2 linked regions of the Saccharomyces cerevisiae S288C genome follow. Each later gene encodes a partner of the first gene's protein in a complex. Each region holds a gene or a part of one and is shown on either strand. Other genes may lie near its edges. A codon is read from its position in the direction of its gene.

Region 1 (4,617 bases):
AACGATTTTTTTGATTTGTACAATAACAGATTGTTGAAAATCAGCGGTGCACCTACGCTGAGATTAAGATGGATCGGTAAACTGCTAGACAAACCTGACATATTTTTGGAAAAGAGAACTTTTACAGAAAATACCGAAACTGGTAATTCAAGTTTTGAAGAAATCAGATTGCAAATGAAAGCCAAATTCATCAACAATTTTATTTTTAAAAATGATCCCAGTTACAAAAACTATTTAATTAATCAACTAAGAGAAAGGGGTACTCAAAAGGAGGAACTGGAAAAACTTTCTAGAGACTTTGATAACATCCAAAACTTTATTGTTGAGGAGAAGTTGCAGCCAGTTTTGAGAGCTACCTATAATAGAACTGCTTTCCAAATTCCTGGAGATCAAAGTATTAGAGTCACTATCGATTCCAATATCATGTACATTAGAGAGGATTCTTTGGACAAAAATAGGCCCATTAGGAACCCTGAGAATTGGCACCGTGACGATATTGATTCCAATATTCCCAACCCATTGAGGTTTTTAAGAGCAGGAGAATATTCGAAGTTCCCCTATTCTGTAATGGAGATTAAGGTTATAAACCAAGATAATTCTCAAATGCCTAATTATGAGTGGATTAAAGATTTAACTAATTCACATTTAGTTAACGAAGTTCCAAAATTTTCTTTGTACTTGCAAGGTGTGGCTTCACTGTTTGGTGAAGACGATAAATATGTCAACATTTTGCCATTCTGGTTGCCCGATTTAGAAACCGACATCAGAAAGAACCCTCAGGAGGCTTACGAAGAAGAGAAGAAAACTTTACAAAAACAAAAGAGCATTCATGATAAACTTGATAATATGAGAAGGTTATCCAAAATCTCTGTACCAGATGGAAAGACCACTGAAAGACAAGGGCAAAAAGATCAGAATACTCGCCACGTTATTGCAGATTTAGAAGATCACGAATCATCAGATGAAGAAGGTACTGCATTGCCCAAGAAATCTGCAGTCAAAAAAGGGAAGAAATTCAAAACGAATGCAGCTTTCTTGAAAATTCTTGCTGGAAAAAATATTTCAGAAAATGGAAATGATCCATACTCCGACGATACAGACAGTGCCTCTTCTTTCCAATTACCTCCGGGAGTTAAAAAACCAGTTCACCTTTTGAAAAATGCCGGTCCTGTCAAAGTTGAGGCAAAAGTTTGGCTCGCCAATGAACGTACATTCAATAGATGGTTAAGTGTAACCACATTGCTGAGTGTATTGACCTTTTCTATCTATAATTCAGTGCAAAAAGCCGAATTTCCACAACTAGCTGATCTGTTGGCCTATGTATATTTCTTTTTGACTTTGTTTTGCGGAGTATGGGCTTATAGAACCTACTTAAAAAGATTAACTCTTATTAAAGGTAGAAGTGGTAAGCATTTGGATGCACCTGTGGGACCTATTTTGGTTGCAGTTGTATTAATCGTTACCTTGGTTGTTAACTTTAGTGTGGCTTTTAAAGAGGCCGCTAGGAGGGAAAGAGGATTAGTAAACGTTTCCTCCCAGCCTTCGTTACCCCGTACACTAAAACCAATTCAAGATTTTATCTTCAATTTGGTTGGGGAATAAGAACATGTATATTTTTTATATACACATATATTACACAAGTACCAGTTACTATCATAATTAATTAATTGTTCTCTATTTATACATATTTGCTCTTCCGTATTAAATCATATTAAACAGCTTTCAGCAGGTGCCGGCGCCGCCTCTTTTTATTTTCAAAATTCAAAATGCACATAATGAGAAGATGTGTGTGATAGTTAAACCCAGATCAAAAAATAGCTGAAACGTTCGTTTCAGCTCCGCAAATCTATATTGCTAATTAAAATTATTCATCAATATCTACTTCTGTTTCAGTTTTTTTCCTCTTCTTCCTCTGACCTTTGGATATCATAATAATGTCAGTTGAAGTAGATAAGCACCGGAACACACTACAGTATCATAAAAAGAACCCTTACTCCCCTTTATTCTCCCCAATTTCTACATATAGGTGTTATCCTCGGGTATTGAACAATCCCTCCGAGTCTAGAAGATCAGCCAGTTTTAGTGGTATTTATAAAAAAAGAACCAATACGTCAAGATTCAATTATTTAAACGACCGCCGTGTTTTATCAATGGAAGAATCAATGAAAGATGGGTCAGATAGAGCTAGTAAAGCTGGTTTTATAGGAGGCATAAGAGAAACTCTTTGGAACTCAGGTAAGTACTTATGGCACACATTTGTGAAAAACGAACCTCGCAATTTTGATGGTTCTGAAGTAGAAGCAAGTGGTAACAGCGACGTTGAGAGCAGAAGTTCTGGAAGTAGGAGCAGTGACGTACCATATGGTCTACGTGAAAATTATTCCTCGGATACAAGAAAACACAAATTCGATACGTCGACGTGGGCCTTACCAAATAAAAGGAGAAGAATCGAAAGTGAAGGTGTGGGGACACCTTCAACCTCACCAATCAGCTCTTTGGCTTCTCAAAAAAGCAATTGTGATAGTGACAATAGCATAACTTTTTCGAGAGATCCTTTTGGTTGGAATAAGTGGAAAACAAGTGCTATTGGTTCTAACTCAGAAAATAACACTTCTGATCAGAAAAATAGCTACGACAGGCGACAGTATGGGACAGCCTTTATTAGAAAGAAAAAAGTTGCAAAACAGAACATTAACAATACTAAACTGGTGTCGAGAGCACAATCTGAGGAAGTAACATATTTACGACAAATATTCAACGGAGAATATAAAGTTCCAAAAATATTAAAAGAAGAAAGAGAAAGACAGTTAAAATTAATGGATATGGATAAGGAAAAAGACACTGGCTTAAAAAAGTCTATAATCGACTTAACTGAAAAGATCAAAACAATTTTAATTGAGAACAACAAGAACAGACTACAGACAAGAAATGAAAATGATGATGATTTAGTATTTGTTAAAGAAAAAAAGATATCTTCTTTGGAAAGGAAACATAAGGATTACTTAAATCAAAAGTTGAAGTTTGATAGATCTATATTAGAGTTTGAGAAAGACTTCAAAAGATATAACGAAATTTTAAATGAAAGAAAGAAGATTCAAGAAGATCTTAAAAAAAAGAAAGAACAATTGGCCAAGAAGAAACTTGTTCCTGAATTAAATGAAAAAGACGATGACCAAGTACAAAAAGCTTTGGCATCTAGAGAAAATACTCAGTTAATGAATAGAGATAATATAGAGATAACAGTACGTGATTTTAAGACCTTGGCACCACGAAGATGGCTAAATGACACTATCATTGAGTTTTTTATGAAATACATTGAAAAATCTACCCCTAATACAGTGGCGTTTAATTCATTTTTCTATACCAATTTATCAGAAAGGGGTTATCAAGGCGTCCGGAGGTGGATGAAGAGAAAGAAGACACAAATTGATAAACTTGATAAAATCTTTACACCAATAAATTTGAACCAATCCCACTGGGCGTTGGGCATAATTGATTTAAAAAAGAAAACTATAGGTTACGTAGATTCATTATCGAATGGTCCAAATGCTATGAGTTTCGCTATACTGACTGACTTGCAAAAATATGTTATGGAGGAAAGTAAGCATACAATAGGAGAAGACTTTGATTTGATTCATTTAGATTGTCCGCAGCAACCAAATGGCTACGACTGTGGAATATATGTTTGTATGAATACTCTCTATGGAAGTGCAGATGCGCCATTGGATTTTGATTATAAAGATGCGATTAGGATGAGAAGATTTATTGCCCATTTGATTTTAACCGACGCTTTAAAATAGTTATTCTTTTATAATATACAATTATTATACATAAGTAGAAATATTCAGATCATTGGATATGGAATAAAGTTCAATAAACCACTTGAAAATAAATCATAAGAATAGCATAAGCACCAGCTCAATTTAGATGTCTGTACAAAAAGTAATATATTTTAGAGATGAGCAGGCAGAACCACACATTAGTGACGATTGTCTTCGACCTTATGTGGAATCTTAAGCTTTAACATATAAGTAAAAATTTTTATTTTCAACAAAAGATTAGAACGAAATGAAATTCCTTAATTGAACCTTCTCTTGGATATCAATCTATTGGCAATCATTCCTAGAGAATATATTATTGAGTGAAAACTGTAGATACGTGCTAAGCGGTAAAGCCCTTATGAACATCGTCACACTATCTCTATATTGAGCCTCCGTAAATTTCGAATCATTTGAAATTCATTTTTCCTGGTAGGAAGATACTTGATAGTGGAGGATAAGTAAAGTAAATTGTGGTTATCATTTATTTGGTGGTAAAGTACCTTTTTTATGTTTTTTTTGAAGATGGAAATTCAGGCATTTTAAAAAAATAGAAAGCTCGAAATATCTCAAAAAACATAAAAATAGAGGAAGAATCCGCTGAATATACCATCTTTACAAACTACTTAACTATTTATTTTTAAATATAAAATTTTTAGTACCATCATCGGAGGATTGTTGCGATCGTATTTTTTTCTCCATTTTTTTCCTATATGCTATGCCACATCGACTACATAGCTCAACATTTCCATTAGGTCCACTTCTCCACTGAGAAGTCCAGGTGTCACCACAAGTGGCG
Region 2 (5,743 bases), on another chromosome or scaffold:
GGTTCCGGAACTGAATCCAGTACTGCCTCTTCTAACGCTTCGGGGTCTTCTTCCAAGTCTAACTCCGGCTCTTCTGGTTCTTCCAGTTCTTCTTCTTCTTCTTCAGCTTCATCTTCATCTTCTAGCAAGAAGAATGCTGCCACCAACGTTAAAGCTAACTTAGCACAAGTGGTCTTTACCTCCATCATTTCCTTATCCATTGCCGCTGGTGTCGGTTTTGCTTTGGTTTAAAAAGCTTCGACACATACATAATAACTCGATAAGGTATGGTATCTTATTTCATTGTGGGGTAGTTTTTACGAAAAAAATGAAAAGTTGTAAGTATAGTATATATTTTTTTTCTATGTAAGTTTTATAAGATTCTATTCGCTATTACCACCGGTAAATTAAAAAGAACACTATTGTTACATTATATGTTTTTAAATCATCAAAAAAGACAATATTCATTTAATATTCCTTATAGAACTACTTAACATTGTTCTTCTTTCTATTAAACGTCTTTATGCAAACCATTTATGTACTTTCTCCATAATATCAGCTGGATATCTATTGAAAATTGCCATAGCATCACTAGAAGGCAAAAATCCCAACAACTTTTTAACTGAACTTATCACCGTTTGGCCTTCCCTTTCGGTCAAACTTCTCTCATTCAAGGCTTGTATGACTGAATCAACTACAGCGGAGATATTAGATTGAGCACACACAATTGGCGAATTATTTTCAATCAATTGACTCAAAAATTGATAGTTGAATGAGGCAGCTTCTTTGTCAGTTATTGTTGGTAACGTTTTGAACCAATTAGCCGTGTACGTGTCTACGTTAGGAATGTTGGAATTGTATGCATAAAGAATTTTGGCGATGGCTGCACTGGCATTCTCTGTTGAAGAACGATTTTCTTCCAGTTTGGAGCCTGGAAAATCGACAATCTGAACAAGTGTATCTAAAGTCGGTATGCAAACGTCAGCATATGTAGATGGAGCGTATTGGGCACAAACACCGATTATATAAGAAGCAGCTTGGCGAATACGAGCGTCAGGAGAAATCAAGCACTCGGTAACCTTTGGAATAAATGCGTTCTTCATGCTAGCAGTTTGTTCGCCACCATATTGAATCAAGTCACCAATCACTACTAATGCAAAAATGACTAAAATTGGTTCATTATCTAAAAGGAATGTGTTTATCATAGGCCATATATTCTCCAAATTCTTTAGATAATGACCATTTGTGGTTTTCAAAACGGCCGCGATAGACTTGTTGATTTCATCGAGAAGATCTTCGTCAGTAAAGTCTTCCTCTTCATCAATATTTTCATTATATTCATCACCATCACCATGGCGATCCTGCATCCTTTCGTAAGTGTCAGTTAAGTTGGCGGAGACACCCTTAGTAAATGCCGCTAATTGGTCTTCGCTTAAGCAATTGTCACCCATGACTTTAATACCATTCACTAACGAGTTGTGATAAACTTGCGTGATTTCTGGCATTGGTTCTGACATTAAGCCTCCGATTAGTTTAGACGAAGCTTTATGCCACAACAATACCAATTCCTCGTTTTGAGTACCGGTGGCTGCAAGTAAACAAGATAATAGAATAGGAATTAAAGTTGCTCCTGCAGCACGAACACCGTCATGTAGGTAAAAGTCAAGCGATGGTAGAGCTATTTCTTCCATTACTTCTTTAACATATACAGCAAATTGGCCTCTTAAAAGTGTCGCATAGCTTTGTAATAGCTCCATTGCTGATACTTTATCGTCAAGGACGGATGTGTGAATAGCAATGTGTTTTCCCTGAACTTGAACAACATCCCAATCTGGATATTGTTGGAAATTTGCTGCTTCTTCTTCTTCAATTAAACCGACGTCTTGCGTTGCTTTGGCAGTAATTAGCAGGGGTGGTATAACAATCGGTAACAACGGAACAAAATCATCACCCAGAATTCGGCAAATCCTGCTCCAACTTTGTTCTAAGTATGATCTGAGCGCATCATCTTCATCGATATCTGAGTTTTGTAAAGCGACCAATATAGAAATCAGCTCTTGAGAGTGCTCATGAAATTTTTCCTTACCAACGGCAAAACCAATCAGAGTTGCACATTCCATACATTTACCTTTCAAAACACTATTATCTTTATTGTTAACCTTCAAAACATTTAATAATAATGGCATTAGAGTATCGTAATACTTGATAAATTTATTCTTTGCAGCTTCAGCAATAAATGCAATGGTTGTTAGGGCCTGTTCCTGTACGTAAAGTTTGTTGCTTTGTAATAAAACTAATAAATTTGTCAATAGACTATCCAAGTAAGGCTCAAGAATATCCTTCGAAGCGAATTCAGAAAAGTTAACCAGAGCCGCTGCGGCGTGCGTTTGAACTCTTGAGGTGCATTCTGACGTTAGTTTAGATATTAAAGCCGGCAAAATTCTATCGTGTGCAGTTCTTTGAATGAATGGTGAAAAATCAGTAGATATTTGACCCAAAACATTACAACATCCATACTGTACTCTTGGATGAGGATCGTTGATGAGGGGAATTACCATATCCAGGATTTTTGGGATCTCGCCGATCAGAACATCAGCACAACCCTCAGCTGCAGAGGAAAGTGCCATCATGGCCGCGAATCTTTCTCTCCATTCGGTTGATGTGATCATTTGCTGTAAATATTGGAACAATGGTGCAGCCAAATATTCACCACCCAGCTTTAAAGCAACACGATCAAGAGCTTGACGAGCGTGGTCATATGTAACTTCCTCTTCATCATCGGTATCGTCAGATTCTATCCATTCTGCTGCATCATCATCATCTATGGATACCTCCGTCATCATGATTAAAGTAACCATCACTAAAGTTTGCCCGTAATTCTGGTTCGATTTACACATTTGGGGAGCGTTCTCGCTGAAAACGGTTAGCAGTTCGAGTGCTGTGGTTCTTGCTGGAGGTTCTAAATCCTTATTTTTTATAACCATATCAGTGAATTGTATTATTTGGTCAAACATATCCTTGAATAGTTTTGGTGCCAATTCCACCAACTCAATTAACGATTCAAAAACTGATGCAAGGGCATCGTCCTTACCATCATCTAAAAATCTTGGTAAACTATTCAAAAGACTTGGTAATAAAATACCTAACTTGGACCACTCAGATTTTGGTAGTTGCTTAAAATAACCCACGAAAGCCGTAACTGCAGCAATTTTGACATTATCACTTGCATCAGTAAAGCCTGATTGAAAAATTGGTAAGATACTGTTGATGTCAACAGCGGTAATTAAATAAGGTACAGTCGTCAAAATTCTAAAACTGGATTCTCTAAAATTTGGGTTACCGCTTTTTAAAGACTCTATTAAAGCTTGTAGTAATTCTGGCCATGCTGGTAAGTCGTCTTGAACACACTCAGCAATAGCATCAGATAGTTTGTGCCTAATTGAATCAGCTCTTTCCGACAAAAACCCTTTTAACAATGAAGAACGAATTTGTGCAAGAACTTCTTTCCTAATATGTGTGATATTTTTGGACATAATCATAAGCTTCGAAGAAGGGGGAGCTTTTAATGCTAATTTTCTAAACAGAACAGCAGATAATGCTGCAACTGTTGTATCTTGGGAGAAAGCGGCTTGTTCAGCCAAAAAAGTTAAAAGATACTCAATATTGTTTTCGGTAATCCATTCTTCACTAAGAGCCTTCTCAGCTACAGAACGTATTTGATTGTCAGGGGAAGCAAACGCCTGGACAATCTGAAGTAATGTTCTATTAACTTCTTCCGGTAAAGCAGACATAGCGATGGCTCTAGTTACGGTTGAAATCACGTGTCGTTAGGATAAAGTGGCTTGCAAGCTAATTACTTTTGTTTGGGCTATCTGCCACTTTGATCTACTCAGTCTATTAGCCACTCGGTATCTGAAGAGCGCCGAACTTCGATCACTGTTATAGCTGTCTATAATACTATAGTGATTATTGGACCGTCTGGTATTAGTATTCCCATTTTTTTAGTGAATTTCATTTTTCTTTTTTTCCTGGGTAGAAAATGAAAAATTTTTCAGTTTCTGCAAAGAATTGATATCGTGCGTCATGATGATAATACCGATTTACTGCAGTTCGTACAATTTATTTTTTTTTTTAGAATGTCAAACAGATAGTCCATGATAGGCTATTGGATTATTTATCAACACTCATGATCCATATATTTTGAGATTATATTTGATGAAGAAATAAAGCGGCATATCATACTTTTCTTAAAGTTTAATAGTTTGTATTATATTATAAAGAGTGTTTACGTAACAAAAAAAACTATATATATATTTGCTTATGTGTAATGTACAGTGAAGACGATTAGATTCAAACCCTAAAACTAAAAATAAAGAGATCGCTAAAAGAATCGAAAAAAAAAAAGATGAGCAATATCAAGAATAAAAAGCAAAAGTGAATATGGTTTATACTCTCCTGCTTAGTTTCCTTCTATATTTTTTGGTTGCTGATGTTATTCTTCTATCTACAATGATTTTTTGTTAAGAATGCTTTCGAAGTAGTTTTTGATTTTATTGATCAACGACGATTTGATGGTGGGTTAAGACGTTCTTTAGCGATTTTATATTCTTTGTTCAATTTTACCATTGCTTCTTCCAATTTAGTAATTTCATCACCCTTTTCGACAACAAAGATGGTCTTCTCGTCGTTTAATTTGGCTGGGATTTCCAATTCTGCGATAACAGATTGCAAAACTTCAACCACCTTATTTTCTGGAAGATCAAATAATTCGGCTAGTTTAGCAACAGAAAAACTTGAATAGAACCTCTTGAAAGAAAAGAAATAAGTCTTCAAAGATTCAACTTGTACTCTTTCCGTTAAACTATTCAACACCGTTTCCATGTTTGGTAATAAAGCCCAAGATTTTATTTCTCTTAAGTATTTAACAGAGTCTCTCCAGTTACCTTTTTGCATTGATTTGGCAGCAAACAAGACATAATCTCTTAAAGTTTCTGGTGGACCTTGGAAACTTAACTTGTCGTAATGTTCTAAGGAACGACGAATGGATTTTGGAGAGTAAGGAATTCTCTTGACCTTAATACCGGAATAGAAGGCAGTCATTCTTGGAATTTCGATCAATAAGGAACATGTTAAGAAGACGACATCGATTAAATCGAGATTGATGTGTTGGTGATATGGCAAACATTGTCTAGCACGCTCATCAGCTGAAGCATTGTTACTAGAATTGAGAGATATTCTGTGTAGGGATTGTTGGCCCAAAATTTCTCTTAAGTGAGAACTTGACAGAAGATCATTCAAAATTTGATGACATTCTTCAATCAAACATAATTTAAAGGCGGATAGACCCAATTGAACAACAACCCTGTTGAATAAAATTTGTAGGGATGAATCGAATTGGTTGATATTTGTTTGAACTTGGGAAGTTAGTAACATATCTTTAGCAGTTTGGAAATCTTTGTTTAATGCAGTGTAGTAAATGTTGTATAAAATAGCACGTTTTTGAACAGCAATGTTGTTTTGCTTGGATAAGATTGTCGATAATCCGTCTATTAAATTGTCGACATAATCAGCAGAATCGAGCTGGTCTTTTGAAGTAAATTTAGATTTGAATTGAGCAGGTATGATATTCCAAGCAGCAGTTTCCATAATTTTTATCAAATTTTCGGATTTATAGTAGATATGATCCAATCTCTTGACGAATGGACGTGTCAATGCTCTTTCTAGGTCGTGTTCATCTTTCAAAGTCGCTTCAAAGTACAATTGA

What was found.
Region 2: the proteins of ULP1 (region 1) and PSE1 are in contact, whole or in part, in a crystal structure (PDB 5H2V), measured with the Saccharomyces cerevisiae proteins. Residues at the interface, in NP_015305.1 of Saccharomyces cerevisiae: Gly51 (codon at 2,085), Ile52 (codon at 2,088), Tyr53 (codon at 2,091), Lys54 (codon at 2,094), Lys55 (codon at 2,097); in NP_014039.1 of Saccharomyces cerevisiae: Asp346 (codon at 2,735), Arg349 (codon at 2,726), Gln350 (codon at 2,723), Asp353 (codon at 2,714), Leu357 (codon at 2,702), Ser392 (codon at 2,597), Ser393 (codon at 2,594), Glu396 (codon at 2,585), Cys429 (codon at 2,486), Asn430 (codon at 2,483), Gly433 (codon at 2,474), Gln434 (codon at 2,471), His470 (codon at 2,363), Ala473 (codon at 2,354), Ala474 (codon at 2,351), Val476 (codon at 2,345), Asn477 (codon at 2,342).

The regions. Positions count from the first base shown.
Region 1 is NC_001148.4:511,496-516,112, reverse strand, and holds ULP1 (SUMO protease ULP1), read left to right. Parts: upstream 1-1,934; coding exon 1,935-3,800; downstream 3,801-4,617. Other genes in the region: VTC3 (vacuolar transporter chaperone), read left to right, coding at 1-1,602; ECM23 (Ecm23p), read right to left, coding at 4,449-4,617. UniProt on the Saccharomyces cerevisiae protein: Protease that catalyzes two essential functions in the SUMO pathway: processing of full-length SMT3 to its mature form and deconjugation of SMT3 from targeted proteins. Has an essential role in the G2/M phase of the cell cycle.
Region 2 is NC_001145.3:888,452-894,194, forward strand, and holds PSE1 (importin PSE1), read right to left. Parts: upstream 3,771-5,743; coding exon 501-3,770; downstream 1-500. Other genes in the region: 1,3-beta-glucanosyltransferase GAS1, read left to right, coding at 1-231; NIP1 (translation initiation factor eIF3 core subunit c), read right to left, coding at 4,537-5,743. UniProt on the Saccharomyces cerevisiae protein: Functions in nuclear protein import as nuclear transport receptor. Serves as receptor for classical and arginine/glycine-rich nuclear localization signals (cNLS and rg-NLS) in cargo substrates.